3 linked regions of the Ovis aries genome follow. The protein of the gene in region 3 purifies or fractionates together with the protein of the main gene of each other region. This does not show direct contact. Links are inferred from orthologs where the notes say so. Each region holds a gene or a part of one and is shown on either strand. Other genes may lie near its edges.

Region 1 (3,746 bases), on a different chromosome or scaffold from region 3:
ATAGCTTACAATGTACAACAGAATTATTCAGCCCCAAATAGTGCTGAAGTTGAGAAACTCTGGTCTAGAGGCACACAGGTGAATAACTGTCTTCAATCTGCGCTTTGAGTCAACAAATGTATATATCTATAGTGTGCCAGGGCACACAAGGGGTTGGGAATTCAATGACCAAGACCATTTCTACCCTTAAATAGTTCAACCAGGTCAGGGAGACAGACAGTAACTATGATACAATGCATAAAATGTGAAATAGTTAAGATTTACAAATCATATTTGCAGAAGAAACTGGTTTTGATTTGAAGATGGAAATAGGATTAGGATTTTACAATGATAAAAACAAAAATGATATTCCTGGTAGAGGAAATGGCATCTAGCAACAAAGGACTTTCTTCAATTCCTTGTATTAGCTAAAAGTTCTTTTTCACCCCAGGCCTTCACACATGCCAAACCATCTATCTTGCAGGGTTTTCTCCCCCTTCTTTGCCTAAGTCATCCTTTAGATCTTGGCTTATTCAGAGAAGGCCTCTTCTTTCCTCAGAGGTCATTCTTGACTTCCCTTTTCATAGCACTTATAATTTACAATGATACACCCTTCAAATAACTCCAAGAAAAGTAATTTTCTCCTTTACTAAACTGAAAGCTCCATGGTTAACAGACCGTATCTATTCTACTCAAATTTACATACCCTGCAACTTGCTCAGTCAGGACCTTTCCTATACACCATCTTACTCAGTTTCTGTACAATAAGTGAATGAATGAAAAAATAACAAGATTAGAGTAACAAATAGGGGCATTACAGTAGTAATGAGTACAATGTTGCCAGGAAGCATTTTTTTAGATTCAATGGATGAGGTTGCAGATGGGGTCCAGAGATTCATGAGGAATCTCAAATGCTAGGCTACTGAGTTTAGCTCTTCTGTTAAAAGTGGTAAGGAACTTCTGGGGCTTTCTGAGGAGGAAGTTACACAACTACAACTGCATGGAGACTTTGTGGAGAATGGATTGGAGGAGAGGGAAGTGACAGAGCCAGCAGAGACGGTTATTTAAGTAGGGTAATAAGAGCCTGGCCTGGGGCAATGAGGGACAAGCAAGATTGTATCTGTCAAAGTTCATAGCAAATCTGAAAAAGGTACATTTTGGGTGGTCAACCCTATGACGTCTGCCCTTTCACAAATGGAGTAAGCACCTTCTTGTGTAATACTTCAACAAGTATGATGTTTAAAAAAATCAAGAGGCATCCCCTCAGTTTAACAACAAAAGAATATCCCAGGTTTCTAGCTGAGGTAAGAAAACACAGAGCAAGAATAAGGAATACAAGAGAACAAGCAAATTTAGGGAGAGGTGAGTTTTAATCCAGACGTCTAATTTCAAGGTGTCTTCAAGATATCCAGGTAAACCTTGAAAGAGAGCTAGGAAGGCAGATTTAGGAGTCATCATAAATTATATGGTCATGAAGACCTGTGCATTAAATAGGTATCGACAGGAAGAAGATAAAGAAGGGGAAGGCAGTGACCCAAACTCTCAATTGACGTTAAGAAACACCCACAATGATCAAAAGGGACGACTTCCTGAAAGGCAAAGGTCAGCGGCATCAGAGCTTAACATTCCATATTAAGGCTGATACGGTTGAATTCTGACCAGGAAGGGGTCTGCGTGGAGGCAGCAAAAGAGAGATCCTTCAGTGAGGTAAAAGTAAGAGCTGGTGGCAACATGAGGAGTGGGAAAAGGAAGTATGGAGGCTTCCCTCAGAGAACTGTGGGATCAAGCAAGCGAGAAAGAAAAGAGTTTATTTAGTGAACGTCTACTCTGGGTAGGGAGGTATTCCTACTACATGCCTCAGCGGCCCTACTACGGGCTATAAGGTGTACTACGTGCCTTCGAGGCGCTACCACAAACCGAGGAGGAGCGACTTCCGGCTTCTTTCTTGCCTCAGTATCCCCCACCAGCTTCAAAGGACAGAATAGGAAGCCTCAAAGCCTGCTTCTTACGAAGGCGTCCCCCGCTCGCCCCTTCCTCACCTCAGCCCCTGCCCCGCCCTCTTTCTTCCAGCCTCAGGGTACCCCCGCACCCCCAGCATCCCTCGGCCCAGGGCCTCTCCGCTCCAAAGTCGCATCTCCCCCAGACCCAGAGCCTAGAGGCAGAAGACGGGGGTCCCTGGCCCGAGGCCCGGCTCTCACCATCGCGGGCGCTGGCTGGGCCGGAAAGCGGAAGTGCGGAAGTGGCCCGCCCCGCGACGCCTGCCCTTTCTCCAGAAGCGCAGCCGCAGTCTCCGCCCGGACGTCCGGACTGTACCATCTGTGTTCCGAGCGGGGGAGGGGGAGGCTAAGAACATTTGGTCCCTCGTAAGTTTTCCCGTTAGGACTGTCTTAGTAGCTTTAGGCTTCTGTAGCTTAAAATCACTACTCAAGATTCTCCCGTTCCCCATGGAGCTCTTGCTTGTGACTTTGGCTTTCTCGTCTTTTTTCCGCCGCCTTCCCTCATAGTCATGCAATGGTGCAGCCCGACCTCAGGTTGGCACCATATTAGGGCAAGGCAAGGCGGAGGAGCCTTTCGATCCTTCCGGTTCTGCGCCCCCATCCTATCTTCAGGCCCCTCCTACCTGCAGCCTTTGGGGCTCGGCGAGACTAACTGCCGGGCCGAAAGCCTGGCTGCCGAGCCCCTCCCTCCAGCGCCGGGGTGTTCCCTAGGGTACGCCCGTGGCATACCTTCTGCACCCCACCTGCAAGCGGGCTAGCTCGCTGCCCGCAACCCTCCCCCACCAAAAGACTGGGGTTGGTACTCGCGTCTTCCCGCCCCCTTGTCAACTGCAGGGGGCCCTCACATAGCCAGTTCCGGGGCGGTTGCTCTCACCGACCGGAACTCTCCGCCCCTCCCGCGGCCCCGGGGCCGCTGGAGGCAGCAAGGAGAAGGTAGAGGGGGCGGGGGCCGCGATAGGGTGTCCTTAGAGAACTGGGACCCTGAAGGCGGGACATTGGGGCGATCCATGGGTGGGGCCAGCCATTAACCAGCCCCACTTTTCCTGTGCCAGGCACTGAACTGAGCTCTTGACTGGCATCAACTCTAAATCCTCAGAACATCCCAGGGAGGTAGGTACCATTATTACCCCATTTTACAGATTCAGACTTAAGGGAAAACAGATTCAGGCTTCTTTTGTCCCCATTTTACGCATGGAAAAACCGACTCAGAATCAATTAACATGTTCAGGGCTACATAGACATTGGTCAAGCCTGGGCTTGAATCCAGGTATATCTGGCTGTCCAGAGATCCAGGTATCTCTTTACTATGTGGGGCAAAGAGAAGGGGCAGAGGTGGGGAGGGGTGAGACAAGAAGAGGCTGGGAGGCACGAAGAACATTAGCCTAAGTACCGGATGCTTGGAACTCTGGGCTCAGCAGAACCCAGGAAGAGTGGAAGTGACGGGAAGAGCATCAGAAAGACAAGCATAGTAGTATAGTATATCATGGCAGTTAGTTGAACAAATTCAAAACTACCTGGATTCATGTTGGTAAGCTTGGACCTGCTGCATGCTTACAAAGTCTGTTTCCTCCTCTGTAAGATGAGGATGAGCATGGTCCCTGCTCTTGGGGTTGAGTGAGGAATTCAGTGAGTAGCCAGTAAAATGTCTGCCCCTCACTTGGCACACAGTAGGTGCTGTGAGAATAGTAGCTAAGCCATCACTCTCCCCCGAAGCTGTCGGTGGATGGAAGGAGCCCTTGGACTTTTCTAGTGCCACTTTTACCCCCATCA
Region 2 (3,746 bases), on a different chromosome or scaffold from region 3:
CCCCTGGAGTAGAAAACGGCAACTCACTCCAGTATTCTTGTCTGGAAAATTCCATGGGCAGAGGATCCTGGCAGGCTACAGTCCACCCGGCCGCAAGGAGTCGGACACAGCTCAACAACCAAGACTGGGCAGCATCCTAAGTACAGACTGAACCCCCTCCCCCACACCTCATGGTAACTCAGTCTGTGTTTTAAATTCAAAGCTGCCCTATCAGAAAGACACTTAAGGATAGTTAACCTCAAAGAAATACCCAGCATACTAATTCAAACGTAATCAAGATTTCAAAAGGGAAAAAATTAAATGAGAAAAAGTTAACACCTTACCTAAGATATTACCATTAGGGCAACAATTATCTACACTAATTTTATCGACAAGGCAATAATTACTAAAGCATAGAATATTAACTATGTAGCAATATTTTTCACTGTAACAAAACATACTTGAAAATTCTTTCTCAGTCAAGCTGCCAAATCTAATTTTAAAACTGACCCTAAACATAAAACTACTCCCCAACTGGACTAAGAAGGAAGGCGGGAAAAAAAAATACTGATTCAAGCAAATAAAACTGGATTAAGAAAAATAATCACCTATCCATCAAAAATCTACATAGAAGTTTCATGGCTAAACAACACTGGTTTATTATTATATTAATAAATCGGTTATTTCCTTCTGCACGGCTGGGATTTTACAAACTGCCACACTTTCATAAAGGTATGATCATGAGGATTATAGAGAAATTTCACACAGAACAAACTGAGTGAGGAGTATACCATCCTTTAAGTAACAATAGTTCGCTAAAGAGTAAAAAGGGAAGGGAAAGGCTGACAATCTACTTCTCATAACTCCGTCCAAAATTGGGGGAATTGGAGAAGTAATCATGTATCAGCACAGCATTCACAAGCACAAGAAAACACTTCCAATAGTGAAACATAAAGCAGTCACTCTGCATTAAAACACAGGCAATATTTTCTACGATAGTATAAAGTGTGCTATAAACGCCTATTAATACAAAAGGAACGACCACTTCCACACCGTTATATACTTTAGTAAACTACACTGCAGATCCATAATAACTCCTTGAAAAGCAAGTACCTCCCTTTACAACTCTATTACCTTCCTTCTCTCCTTAAGACACGGTCACAGAATGAACCTATACAACTTAATTTTCCTGGGTGCTTCACTTCCTTCCTCTCAGTGCAACGCAAATATACTTTTTAAGTTCACAGAAATTCATACCTAGCACCAGTACCTCAGCCTATTTGAAAACTGCTTGATTTTGAAAGTTCTAATAAGATGTGTTCAGGTTGGAAACGAAAAACTACCTTATAAGGGTATAAAAGACTGAAAGCAGGAAGCGGCTTTGACAAAACTAAGGAAGTTGCAGCGCGCTTGCTCACTGGGGGACTTTTTTGAGGCAAGAGAAGTAACACATGACATCTTTCTCTCAAATTAAAATGTGAGTTGGTTGGCCGGTAGGAACGTAGTGGGAGATGGAAAAGACCGGGAGTCGAAAAGGAAGAGGAGGTGGGTGGTCCAATGAAAGCCCCGATCTAGGTTCCCATTTTCAGGGTCCGATTCTTCCCTTTCCCCTCCCACACCCCGGGTAGAATGTTGTCACAGCAATCTTGCAAAACCTACAAGGAGCGCTTCTCTTTTCTCGCTCCTTTGCCCGGCCAGTCCCCGCGCTCCATTCCCCCCGGTCTCCAAACCTACGGGCAGGAAAGGGCACCGGGCAAAGGAGGGTCGGCTGTGCGGGGCTCGAAGACCACCCCCACGCGACCGCGGGCCCCGGGGAGGCGCCCGTCCCCGCAGCCCCTCGGGCGGCGCTGCCCACCGCGGTGGGGGAAGGGCCGGGAGGGGTGGCGCGGAGGAAGCCGCTCCCCGGGGTTTCTGGGCCCCGCGCCGCCGCCCGGCTCCCAGAGGGTGCAGCGCGGGGGATGAGGGAGGCCCTGACTGCGGGCCCCACCCCTCGCCACCCGGCGCGGCCCGGGCTGACACAGCCGGCGGCAGCACCTTGCCGCTCCATTCATCTCCCGGCCTCCTCCCGGCCCCGCCATTTTCCTGCCTCCGCCTCAGTTTCCCCACCCCCGCCCATCAGCCCCCTTACCCCGTGCCACAGTCCACCACACAGGCCGGCAGCCGTCCCGCCATCTTCCTCCTCGCCTGCTGCTGCTGCTGCCGCCGTCTGCTCCGTGCCGTTTGGGGCCAGGGATGGGCGGCGGGAGGTGGAAGCTATCTGACCATCCACGGCCGGGCCACCCTCTCCGTCTGGGGGGGAGCCGGGAAGCCGAAGCAGTAGCGAGAGAGAAGCAGGCTCGGTCAGCGGCTACCACTTCCGCAACCCGGGCAGGCAGGCAGTCCCCGCCCTGCCCCGCCGCGGCCTCCTCCCCCTCTCTCTCCCCTCCTCCTCACTCCTGCCCCCACCCTACAACTTCTTCCCCTCACACCGCCTTTCCCCGGGAAGCCAAGATGGCCGCCAGTGCCGACGCCCCGGCCAGGACAGGCCTAGGCCTCGAGCGCTCCCCCTTCCGGCTCCGAGCGGGCGGGGCGAGAGAGCATGCGCACTGAGGAGCGCCGCCGGCTGCCGCTCCCATTCCGAAGGTGAGGTAGTCCACTTCGGGTGTTCTCCAGGTAGGGTTGGGTAGGTCTGCCCGAGTCTCCAGTTCTCCTTCTGAAGCTGGAAGGGGTTTTTCGTTGCAAGTACTTCTGCGCTAGGTTGAGGAAGCAATGGAATCGCATTCCACAGCCACAACTATCTTCCGGTGCTCCGACGAAAACGGCCTAATTGAAAACCTTGTCAGCGGCACCCATCCGATTTTATATCTTGAGCGGCTCCTTTTCTGGTTGGAAAAGAGCTATATCAGACGGAGGGTGAGCCGTTGGAGGAGAGAGGAACAAAGGCTTGCACCGTGGCTCCTCTGCCTTGGTACTGTTTTGTTTTGTTTTGTTTTCTTCAGTTACACTTACGCATTGTTACAACGTGGCACATTACAAGTGTTACTGCAAGGGTTAGATTGTAGGCCACCCGGAGGGCAGGCCTGTGCCCACGAGGAAGGCACACCTCACAGGAATGTAAGCCTTTGGTGGCTTTGAATGAGGAGAAAAAAGTACTCTCCGGGGTAGTTTTAGGTTGTACTATTCTACTTGCAGGATGAAACGACGGATTAAGGACCAAACTTTTTAATTAAAAAAAAAAAACTAGAAAGCCTAGAACAGTGACATTTAAACTTCTCAAAGTGTGCATCAGAATTCCGTGGAAGGCTTGTTAAAGCACAGAATGCTGGACTACATCCCTTGAGTTCTCTGATTAGGTGGTCTGGAGTGGGGCCTAGTAATTTGCATTTCTACCCAGTTCCTAGGTGTTGGTCTGGGACCTCCCCCCACCTAGGAAACCTATAATATTAATAGCTTTTTTCTCTTCTGGTTTATCTTCTGATAAACCATATGGATTCACTTATAGGTGACTGAAATAACATTTTTCCTAAGAAAGGATGTCTGATTGCTTCAGAAGATAACATAGAGTGGTGTTAGACCAGCCTGGGCAATGGAATTTAAGCTTTTCATTCATTTGGCAAATAAGAATTGCTCACCCATTCTATTAGGGCAGGGACTATGCTGACCATTAATATTCAGTAGGCACAAAATGAACAAGTTCTCTCCACTGCCGGGTTTACAGTTTAGTGGCAAAACATACAAACTGTATTAAGAGCAATAGAAATTATAATACAGAGGGCGCTGAGAAATGG
Region 3 (3,646 bases):
CTGTGCCTCAGCCTCAGGGCACACAGCCTCAGCGCACGGTCTGTTCCTGGTCTCAAGAATGAAACGCAGGGCACGTGAGGGAAAATAAGAGAAATACTTACAGCAGCCACGACGCTGTTCTCTGAGACGAACGACACACTCAGGAGGGGCAGGAACTCTGTCTTCAGAGTTGAGACCCTGAGCACGAGAACACCGGTTAACACACGCTGGAAGGGGCCACGCAGCCTCGTCAGACACAGGGGGTGACAGGGCACATGTTCTCAAGGGGCGTCACAGCGTGAAGGACGGACGCTTCGTAAGAGGAGCCCTGTGGGGACTTCCCTGGGGGTCCAGTGGCTAAGACCGTGCTCCCAATGAAGGGGGTCCCGGATGAGATCCCCTGCAGGGAACTAGATCCCACACGCTACAACAAAAGATCCCACATGTGGCAGCTGAGCCCCTGCGTGGCCAAATAATTAAAGTGAATAAATCTTTTTTTTTAAGAGAAGCCCTGTGACCTCCAGCAATCTCCAGCACGGGCGAGCCCCGAGGTGACCTGTAGCAGCAGGGGCCTCTGCCCCTCTGGCTGTGCCCACCCCTCCCGGTTCTGTCACCCTGGCCTTGGTTCCCTGCTACCCACATGCCCTCCTCCTGCCCACCTGAGTCCACCCTGAGTTCTGAAACTCGGCCTGGGTCTCATCACCCCCACAAGCAGCCTTCCTGCACCACTGCAGCCTGCAGGGCTCCCCTCTCTCTGGCCTCCTAGAGCTGACTGTCACCGTCACTCACGACCGAAGGCCCTTCTCTGACGCCATCCTCGTCTGTGCTCACAGGGGCTCCGAGTGGGCCGGGACCACAGACATTCATGGAAGTCTAGTCTGTGCCCGTCAGACACCGGGGCTGTAGCTATGGCCACTGACGAACAAAACAGTGCTGGCCAATGAATGGGCCATGTGTGTGGGCACATGTATGCTTCGTGGCCATCTGCCAAGAAATGATACAGATACAGCAGCAAACATGCTGACTGATGGAGGATCAGATGCCCCAGAAATGCGTTGCGGTTGGGCTCAGTCATGTCAGTCTTTGTGACCCTATGGACTGTAGGGTCCAGGCCGCCAGGCTCTCTGGTCATGGGATTTTCCCATGGAATGGGAATGGGTTTCCACTTCCTTCTCCAGGGGCTCTTCCCGACCCAGGGATCAAACCTGCATCTCCTGCACTGGCAGGCGGATTCTTCACCATTGAGCCACAGGGAAGGGTCACATGGCTCCATGTGAAAGTCACCCCTGCAACCGCCTCCTCCGCCAGCATGACTGGCATTGGATTAAAGCCCTAACGCCTCATCCGAGGCTTTCCTGCAGCGCACCTCGCTCTTACTACAGGAAACACTTGTGTCTGAGATGGAGAAGGGTGGAGGATGTGATCTGACTTGCAGCACCGGAAAAGGCAAATAAGTCAGTAGGACGTAGACAGGGGCTTGTGAGCATTTGCTCAGAGCTCATTATGTGTCACAATAAACTACAGAAAGCAAGCAGCCACGACATCAGGACGTGACTGAAGGACGAGGAGCAAACTGCTGTACAGGGTGCAGAGCACAATCCCACTGGCGCTGAAAATGAAAAGATGTGTGTCTATACATGTGCAGAAAAATCGTCTTGAAGATGATGTAATTTAGGATGCAGGGGGGATGTTTAAAGAAAATTTAAAAACCAAACAAAAACCAACCAGTTCAATCCAAGTAGTGAAAAAGACATTCTCTTTGAAATGTCACTTTGTTGCTGCCATGGGGCAGGGGGAGTCAGATGTGACGGCTTCCCGGAACAGGGTGCCAGGTCAGGAGACCCTGATGGGTGGGCTCCCTCTAGCTGCCAATGGAAGGAGATGCGCCAGGAACAAACGGAGATTCATAAGCAGCAAGGACTGCGGTCCCCCCTCTGCCCTCCAGGCACGAGCAGCAGGTGCGAGCTCTGAAGGACACCCTCCACCCTCCTCAGGGCTGAGCTGGGGCCTCCTCACCCGAGTCACTGCGACCCTGGCCATTCCAGCGCACACCCTGGGTGGGCTGGCTCCCAGGGGTCGGCTGTCACCAAGGCCCCGGGTGAATGGAGCTATGCTCACCAACCAGAGAGAGTAAGAACACGTCCCCCACTTCATCTAAGGCTGTGGGATGACACTCACATGCTGAGGCATTCTCAGGGATGGATTAACTGCCACCCGAAGGAACTCTGGGACCAGGAGCAAACCAGGAGGCTCCTTCGGAGGATTCATGACGGGCATTTCCATTAAGAAGTGTTTCTGGAAGGGAGACCTGAATCTTCAAAATCTCCCCAGATGGACCATCTAAACGTATGAAGGTGACTTTAAAGGCTGCTGTGCAGCCCTGCTAGGGCTTTTATGCTCATGTCCTGCACTTCCACCGGGGCCGAGTGGCCTCAGGCCAGCTGTGGAGAGACCCACGCCACTCCTCTGTAAGTCCAGACAAAGGCTAACACTCACTGAACGCTTTTTGAGGCGTCGGCAACGGACACGGTGCTGTCATGGCTGACCCAGGCCAGTCGGCTGCCGCTGGCCGAGAAGCTGACCCCATGCACCCAGCCGCCGGTGCCGCTGCCCCCAAACTCGGACATCAGCTGACCGAAAGGCATCTTGCTGCCCCAGGGCGTGCTGGCTGGCTTCTCATCCACTTCTTTAATGTAAGCAGAAAACACTCTGTGGTTTAAGGGCAGGGAGAGAAGGAAAAAGGGGATTAAAACATCTGTATGTACTACTAGAAACAGGCCGCAGGCAGCTGCTGGCAGGCACCCCAAGACGCAAAGGTGCCGACTCAGCAAAACCCAAACCCTGACAACGGGCGAGTTCCCACGCAGCTCTCGAGAAGGAGAAGGTTCGGCTGGCTGCCTCCACACCAGTTCAAGTGTGGCCTACGGCCCGTGAGGCACCGCTCTTCAGGTACAGCATCCGCAGGACACAGAAGCCCTTCCCCTTCCCTCCTGGAGGGCGTCTGGGGGAGGACCGTGCTGTCCTGCCTGCCCCTCCCTGGCCCACGGTGGACTCTGCTAAACGAGGCTACCGTCATCATTCTCAACAACAGCGGTCCAGGAAGCCCACACGGACAAACGGCAGGAGACAGGAAACGATCTGCAGCCCTGCAGGAGACCACCGGTACTAACTCATTTGAAGAAAGAAAGGGACATCCCAAGAGAAAGCCAAGGGCGGCCAGGGAGGCTGAGGGAGCAGGCTCTCCCTAGTCTCATCATCCAGCCTTGGTGGCAGGGCTTGTCTGGCATGAAGGAGGGTCTTTTACAGCCTTGGGTCATCGGTCTCCTCTAATTCCAAGAATTAATTCTGTGTGGGAGGCTGTTCTGACCCAGACGTGGGAAGCAGAAGGGCTGGAGACAGTCGGTCCTTCTAGTCCCTTCGCTCTCCAGTGCCATTTCCTTGTACATCTTCTCTTGGAAAACTTCTGAACCCTAACTGCTACACTGCTTCTCAAGTAGGAGGGTCAGCATTTTCCCCAAAGCACCTGATGCTACCGCCCTCTCATCCCACAGCCGAATTCTTACACACATCCTTAACAAAACAAACCAAAAGAACTTGGATATTCTTGGACATAAATCACTAGACAGGTTTTCTGGAATGTCTCCACACAGCTTACTAAAGAAAGCTG

The links.
Region 1: the proteins of ARPC1A (region 3) and ARPC4 fractionate together in Homo sapiens (co-fractionation; 7 studies listed by BioGRID and IntAct, with this or other methods). This does not show direct contact. The link is inferred for Ovis aries from reciprocal best matches to the Homo sapiens genes ARPC1A and ARPC4.
Region 2: the proteins of ARPC1A (region 3) and ACTR3 purify together in Homo sapiens (affinity purification with mass spectrometry; 7 studies listed by BioGRID and IntAct, counting the BioPlex papers as one, with this or other methods). This does not show direct contact. The link is inferred for Ovis aries from reciprocal best matches to the Homo sapiens genes ARPC1A and ACTR3.

Annotation. Positions count from the first base shown.
Region 1 is NC_056072.1:16,893,225-16,896,970, forward strand, and holds the start of ARPC4 (actin-related protein 2/3 complex subunit 4), read right to left. Parts: upstream 2,215-3,746; 5' UTR 2,181-2,214; coding exon 2,178-2,180; intron 1-2,177. UniProt on the Homo sapiens protein: Actin-binding component of the Arp2/3 complex, a multiprotein complex that mediates actin polymerization upon stimulation by nucleation-promoting factor (NPF).
Region 2 is NC_056055.1:178,988,792-178,992,537, reverse strand, and holds the start of ACTR3 (actin-related protein 3), read right to left. Parts: upstream 2,366-3,746; 5' UTR 2,152-2,365; coding exon 2,108-2,151; exon of another isoform or gene 1,396-2,107; intron 1-1,395. UniProt on the Homo sapiens protein: ATP-binding component of the Arp2/3 complex, a multiprotein complex that mediates actin polymerization upon stimulation by nucleation-promoting factor (NPF).
Region 3 is NC_056077.1:37,465,763-37,469,408, forward strand, and holds part of ARPC1A (actin-related protein 2/3 complex subunit 1A), read right to left. Parts: intron 2,689-3,646; coding exon 2,476-2,688; intron 178-2,475; coding exon 102-177; intron 1-101. UniProt on the Homo sapiens protein: Probably functions as a component of the Arp2/3 complex which is involved in regulation of actin polymerization and together with an activating nucleation-promoting factor (NPF) mediates the formation of branched actin networks.